Linked DNA regions of Danio rerio. The protein of the gene in region 1 binds, or shares a complex with, the protein of each later gene. Links are inferred from orthologs where the notes say so. Each region holds a gene or a part of one and is shown on either strand. Other genes may lie near its edges.

The links. Proteins that work in one complex are often made in the same cells at the same time.
Region 2: the proteins of gdf5 (region 1) and hjv are in contact, whole or in part, in a crystal structure (PDB 6Z3L), measured with the Homo sapiens proteins. The link is inferred for Danio rerio from reciprocal best matches to the Homo sapiens genes GDF5 and HJV. Residues at the interface, in NP_000548.2 of Homo sapiens: Met412, Trp414, Trp417, Phe478, Asp480, Ser481, Lys488, Tyr490, Met493; in NP_001366281.1 of Homo sapiens: Arg95, Arg98, Gly99, Leu101, His104, Ser105, His108.

The regions. Positions count from the first base shown.
Region 1 is NC_133181.1:55,372,953-55,376,612, reverse strand, and holds part of gdf5 (growth/differentiation factor 5), read left to right. Parts: intron 1-2,521; coding exon 2,522-3,384; 3' UTR 3,385-3,660. UniProt on the Homo sapiens protein: Growth factor involved in bone and cartilage formation. During cartilage development regulates differentiation of chondrogenic tissue through two pathways.
Region 2 is NC_133191.1:47,328,222-47,331,981, reverse strand, and holds the start of hjv (hemojuvelin precursor), read left to right. Parts: upstream 1-1,048; 5' UTR 1,049-1,113; intron 1,114-3,092; 5' UTR 3,093-3,150; intron 3,151-3,760. UniProt on the Homo sapiens protein: Acts as a bone morphogenetic protein (BMP) coreceptor. Through enhancement of BMP signaling regulates hepcidin (HAMP) expression and regulates iron homeostasis.

The sequences.
Region 1 (3,660 bases):
CCTGAAGGAAAATAATGATCATCTATTCATCTCCCTGTCATTTAAAACCTCTATTTGTGAAGATAAAAGGGGATATTAGCTCGCATTTACCTTTATTGAAAAAAGTAACCTGTAACATTCTGCAAAACATCTCTTTGTGAAGAAAGAAAGTTATACATGTTTGGTTTAATGTGATTTTATTTTAGGAGAAAGTTTGGAAATCCATTGCACGTTATGTCCTTTTAGTGTAATTCACATCACCGCACACACACACGCACGCACGCACGCACACACACACGCACACACACACACAGTTTTAATCAGCTGCACTCTCTCTGCCCTTCTCCGTGCACTTCAGATGGTCTTTTCAGCCCATGTTAGTGAAAGCCATATGTCACGGTGGTAGGCCCACTGGTAAATAGCTGCAGGTTGATAATAATGCTGTGTTTACAGTATGTTGTGGTCTCCAGACCAAGGTCGTCTGGTTTTAATAGTCTTTTGAAAGCAAACTGTTCTTGGATAAAATGAAACCTTTGATTTTTATAATGCACTGCCTTCATGTTGCATTGCATGCAGAGAGAGAGAGAGACACACACACACACACACATAATCAGGATGTGAATCAGCTCTGATTGTGAAAAAGTTTAGCTGTAGTGCTTTAGAAAAGATCAAAGTGACAGATCATATTAGCATTTAAAAGATAAATCTCTTCAGTTACATCAAAGTTACGTAATGGTATCAGATGGCAATACCATCTAACTGAATCATTTCCATATTTATGCAATATGTTGTTAATTGTGCATGATACACTATAGCTATTCAAAAAATGTCTTTGGATTGCCATGATAAATGTCTAAAAGTTGATATTTACGTAATGCTTTTTTAAAAATCTGTGGCATTACCACCATAAAACACAGTATTAACCTGAAATCATGTGGAAAAAACATAGTATTACTATAGGTAATTGTATTATAATTGTGGGAAGTGTAATAGCATGAAGAAAAACACTTTACACTACCTTACAAAGGTTTTGTCGTTAATACCATTTCTAAGAGCAACAAATAATAACTTGGCTTCTAGTTGATCATTTGGAAAAGTGGCAAAAGGGAGATTTGAATCAGCTGTTGAACTGCATCCCAATCATATCTAATACTGCAGAAGAATGATTAAACCACTTGAAAAAGTGGCAGAAGGTCGATTTTTCAGATGAATCATATGTGAATCTGCATCCTAATCATCACAAATACTGCAAAAGACCTATTGGAACCCGCATGGATCACAAGATTCTCACAGATATCTCAAGTTTCTCAAGTGTAGTGAAGGAAAAATCATGGTTTGGGGCTACATTCAGTATGCAGGTGTGTGAGAGATCTGCAGAGTGGATGGCAACGTCAACAGCCTGAGGTATCAAGACATTTGTGCTCCCCATTACATTACAAACCACAGGAGAGGGCAAATTCTTCCGCCTCCTTCTCATACTTCAGCCTCCACATTAAAGTTCCTGAAAGCAAATAAGGTCACGGTGCTCCAGGATTGGCCAGCCCAGTCACCAGACATGAACATTATTGAGCATGTCTGGGGTAAGACGGAGGAGGAGGCATTAAAGATGAATCCAAAGAATCTTAATGAACTGTGGGAGTCCTGCAAGAACGCTTTCTTTGCCATTTCAGATGACTTATTAATAAAGTTATTAGAGTCATTTCAGAGATGTATGGATGCAGTCCTCCAAGCTCATGGGAGTCATACACAATATTAACTCTGTTTAAACCCCTCCATGACTTTATATTCTGTACTGGACATCATTTCTGTTAAGTGACAAAACTTTTGTCTAAGCAAAGTCAGACCTTACTGCCATAATTAAATAGTGAAAAATCAAGCCATGATCATATTTTATTTTGGTGAAATAAGTGTAATCTAGAGGCTTTTGCCTTCCATATAAGCCACTTTGATACCAAATGATCAACTAGAAGTCAAGATATTATTTGCTGTTGCTAAAACCTGGATAGGCGACAAGACTAGATTACCATTGTAAGCATATTGACATGAAACCTGTATAAAACTCAATGGCATTATCATAGTAAATGTAAACAAGCCACAGTAAACACATCACATTATTGTGATATTATGTGCAAAAAAAGCATGATATCATTATGGTAAATCATGGTATTATTGTGTCCACAAACTAGGGCTAAAGTCTAAAACGTTAATATAATGCATGTGCAAAACTCCACACAATTATCATAATAATCTACAGTATTATCCTGACATCATATGAAAAACCTTGAAATTACTATGGTAAATAATGGTATTATCATGACAAATATAAAATGGCATTGCGTCCAAAAAAAGGACTTGGTAAAAACATTGCACATACCTAAACAACAACAACAAAAAAATGTAGTTGCATATTTTTAAGCCTTATAAGATGTGCAAAACACTGTATTACCATGGTAAAGTCAGAAAAACATAGTAACATGGTTATGGTGCATGTTCTGTAAAACATATATGTCAGCACTGTTTCAACTGAGCTTCTCTGTTGCAGATGAGCGTGCGCCCCTGCTGAGACGCCAGCGGTACCTCTTCAACATCAGCTCAATGGAGAAGGAGGGTCTGCTGGGTGCGGAGCTGCGGATCCTCCGAAAGAAGCACATGGACTCTCGAAAAGCCACTTTCTCTGAGGGCATGGCAGTTCTGAGACTCTTCACCTGCGCCTCAGGTAAAAACGCAGCCGTCCTGCTGCAGGCGAGACCTTTCGACTCTCACAGCGCCTCCTACTGGGAGGTGTTTGACATCTGGAAGGTGTTCAAGAACTTCAGAAACACTCCTCAGCTCTGCTTGGAGCTGGACGCCGTTGATCACGGCCGACCGCTTGACTTGAGGTTACTGGGATTGAGTCGGGCAGGACGGCAAACTAAGGAGAAAGCCTTCTTCGTGGTGTTCGGGCGCACAAAAAAGCGAGGGCTCTTTTACAATGAAATCAAAGCACGGTCCGGGCATGATAATAAGACCGTGTATGAGTATCTGTTCACTCAGAGGCGGATGCGTCGGGCACCGTTGCCGCGTGGGAAAAAACCAATCAAGAACCCCAAACAGAGATGCAACCGCAAGCAGTTGCACGTGAACTTCAAGGAAATGGGCTGGGATGACTGGATCATCGCTCCGCTGGAGTACGAGGCCTTTCACTGCGATGGCGTCTGTGACTTTCCCATCCGCTCCCATTTGGAACCGACCAATCACGCCATCATCCAGACTCTGATGAACTCTATGGACCCTAGATCCACGCCGCCGACCTGCTGCGTGCCCACCAGACTCAGCCCCATCAGCATCCTGTACATTGACTCAGCCAATAATGTGGTGTACAAGCAGTACGAGGACATGGTGGTGGAGAGCTGTGGCTGCAGGTAGCAAGACATGAACATTTACATTTTGGGGTTTTGTGACTTCCAGACTTTGTCACAATGTTTTAATAAGACTGCCAAAACTAAGAGTACGACTTTCATTTGTTGCAAACGTAGCCCAGGGATGCCCAAACTCGGTCCTGGAGGGCAAGTGTCCTGCATATTTTAGTTCCAACCCCAACTAAACATAGCTGAACCAGCAATTCAAGCTCTTTCTAGATATACTAGAAACTTCTAGACAGGTGTGTTGAAGTAAGTTGTAGCTAAACTCCCTCTAGGAACG
Region 2 (3,760 bases), on another chromosome or scaffold:
TGATTTATACTGTATTTTATAAATAGGTTTAAACAATTATTTGGGAACTATTTCCATTCTCTTTAGTTGCATAAATGTTTTCAACTCAAACTATTTTTTACACATTTCACATTCAGTTGAATGTATATTATTTCAGCACATTTAATTATTTAGCTAGTTTTTATGTAAAGTTTACAATTAATATTTTTGTAGTTATACATTTTATTTTAATACATTTTTACATGTTTTTAAATCCCGTTTTATTTTATTATTAGCCTATTAATATTATTTTTTATAGCTTTCCTTGTTACTTTTTTAACATTCATTCATTCATGCTTTTCAGCTTTGCCCTTTATTAATCCTTGGTCGCCACAGTAAAATGAACCGCCAATTTATCCAGCCTATGTTTACGCAGCGGATGCCCTTCCAGCTGCAACCCATAACTGGGAAAGTTTTTTAAAAGTTCAAACACAATAACTTAAACATTTGGTTCAACAAATATTTACACATTTTACAATAAAAGATACAATATACAAACAATACATTTAAAAATAAAATAATAATAGAAATAAATAAATACAGTAAGTATATAATAATAAAATATAATGGAAATAAATGCATATTAGCCTATTATTGTCATCGTTTTTACTAAAGTGTTTATCTAAATGTTTGAATATTTGAATAAAAAAAAATTATCTCATAATTTTAGAAATTAAGGACACTTGATAAAATCTTTACCTAAAGCAAAAATATTTAATAAAATGTGATTAAAATTCTGGATCACACTTCTACACCATTTACAACATTCTTTTGGGTAATTTATGTAACCTGTTGCTGCAATCAACAACTATGCGTAATGTAATTGAAACAAATCCAGTAATAAGAGCGTGTGCTGTGTCTAGGATAAACACGTGTGTGTTGACAAACAGCTCATAGAGAAAGAGAGAGAGAGACTAGAGCTGCTCTCCGTCAGCTGGCGCGCGCGTGTGGCAGGTGCGCACCGCGGGTGATTTACGCGTCTTCTCCTTCAGTGCGGGACGGTGACGCGGATCACACCGCACACGAGCGCGTCACTGTCAGAAGTGACGGGGAAAGATCTCAGCGGCGGTCTACAGGAGACAGTCCTCTGATTCTGTGAGTTCATATATTATATTTTACCTGCATTTATTGTCATTAATTAACAATTCAACTAATGTGAATGTAAGTGTGTTTGACCAAACATTTAATACTGCTCAAGAGCTACTATATTTGATCTTTAGACACTGTTTTGGAATTTTTGAATGTACTTTATTTTAATATCTGTTTATCAAATATATAGGTCATATATACCCTGAATTATGACTACTTAAATGTGTCAATTTAAAAAAAAAATACAGGATTATACAGGGAGTATTTTTTGGATATTTTTTAACATAAGACGTCACTTCAAATGTTGACTATACACTGAACAAAACGATGTCTGCAAACATTTTATGTGTTGAATTTAAACAAACTAATTAAATTTAGTAATGTTCAACTTAATATGTTTGTTTAAATTCAGCCCAAATAAATTGTTCATCATCTTTGAATCATACATAAGCAATGTTATTTTCTTACAGTAATTAAGTTCACCACTTTGGATTATTTTGTGATTTAAAAAGCTACCACACAAAGAATTTAAGATATTATTTGTTTAATATAATGTTATCTTCGTAATAGTTTACAATTTTTAAAACATTTTCCTTCTATAGTTAAACAGTAAACTGAATATATCTGAACATTAAAATTAAGCCTTGTAGCTCTTTATAGTTTACACATTGCTAACTAGGTCACACTTTACAATGAGTTTGATTAGTTAATGTATTTACTAACATGAACTAATTATGAACAATACTTGTACAGCCTTTATTAATCATAGTTCAACATTTAATCCATTATTAACATCCGTATTCATGCTTGTAAAGATTAGTTATTACACCATGAGTTAACATGAACTAACAATGAATGACTATTTTCATTAACTAACATGGATAAATACTGTAATACATGTTTTGTTCATTGTTTGTTCATGTTAGTAAATGCATTAGCTAATACAACCTTATTGTAAAGTTTTACTGCTAACTATTACTTAATATCATAGAACTAATATCATATAATGATATATATAATCATACAATGATTGCACCGCTATAAGAACCTACTTTGTCATAGTTGTCTACTCTCATAACGCACAGTTGAAATGACAGTCATGTCCAGCAGAAAGGCATTGATTTTCAATTCACTGGAATCTGTTTTCTGTGTGTGAGACTGAAAGAGCAGCAGCTGTGCAGTTGAGCATTCAGTGTCCTGAAATGTTTGGTAGCCCATGAGCATTTACACCCATTTGGAGTGGAAATGAGCTCTTGGTAAAAGTGCTTGCACACCAGCTTCTACCCGTTTCCACAGTTCGTTGAACGAGGGACTGATTCTGATTCCGTCCGGCTGAAATTAGCCTGCAGAAGGAAACAGAGAGCTGTCGAGTTTCTGCTGTGTGTCTCACACCTGCTACTGTGCTGCAGAGCTTTCAGACGCAGCTATTTCCACTAGGGCAGGTGCTGGAGGGGTAGGCCGGTGTGCTGGGTGTATATTTAGACCCCCTATTTCTGCCCTGCAACTCTCGTAACTTTGCCCCGCCAGCAGTCGTCCTAGCAGAAAAAATAATCAGCTGTCACTGTTGAGGAAAAAAACACTCTGAAGCGCATCCAAAAGAAACCAGATTTAAATGAGATTTCTGATATCTGTTTGTTGTGTTTAAACTGAAAGGATTCAGCTCTGCCTTTGACAGATTGCTGATATCAGAGTTGTTGGTCAAGTGCAAACACGCATATTGGATTGGAGTTTACTCTCGCGTTCCTCCAGTGTTTGCTCTTGAGGCTTTGTAAATAACACATCGGTGCAGAGAGTCCAAACTGCCAGCACTGACAGCATTGTGTGACCATTTTTTTCAGTCAGATTGTATTACCTGAAGCATTCTGATCGTATTGCCTTGGATATCAGCTAGTGTGAATTCATGGATGTTGGTGTTGTGTGATAACATGCACACAACTGTCCATAAAATTTGATCAGTTTATAATGTGCTGCTTTCTCTTTTAAAGGGTGTTCAACACGATCAGGACATTATCAGTCTCTTGATGACTCTCAGTAACTCTTAAGGTAAGGGAAAGTTTCTAAATGATCAGGTGTAATGCTGGTGTCCTGACATTTTATCCTACCCATCAGATTATCCTACTAAAACTGTATTTAAATGGTTCTGAGGTTGCGGTTAGGGATTGGGTAGGTTAGGGAGATATTACAGCTTCATGTCCCACTACTCCACATTAAAATGTACACTGGTAGCAAAGTCTGATGGGTAACATTACATCATCAAAATGTGCTAGCTACTTTTTGAATGGGAGGTAGGACAATCTGACAAGGACAAATCGACAGAACAGTTCTGACATGATCTGATGGAGAGTGTTGTTTTGAATCATAAATGGCATGGCACAAATGTTTTTTAACATTTTCCTCTTTATTTTTGTGAGTTATAGGTGTTTTTAGCGTATTTAAATTTTTATATTGCATTTTGGGACAGTAAAATGTCTGTAAATGAAACTTTTTTTTTGTGTTTTGTGATGCTTTATTTATTTATTTATTTATTTATTTATTTATTTAATCCTCTTGAGTTCCATTATGAGACCTTGATGTTTCCATTAGCTGTATTCTTGACTATATTCTTTATTGAATTGGCATTCTCTTCATTCTCGTCGACAAATTCATTGGTTTC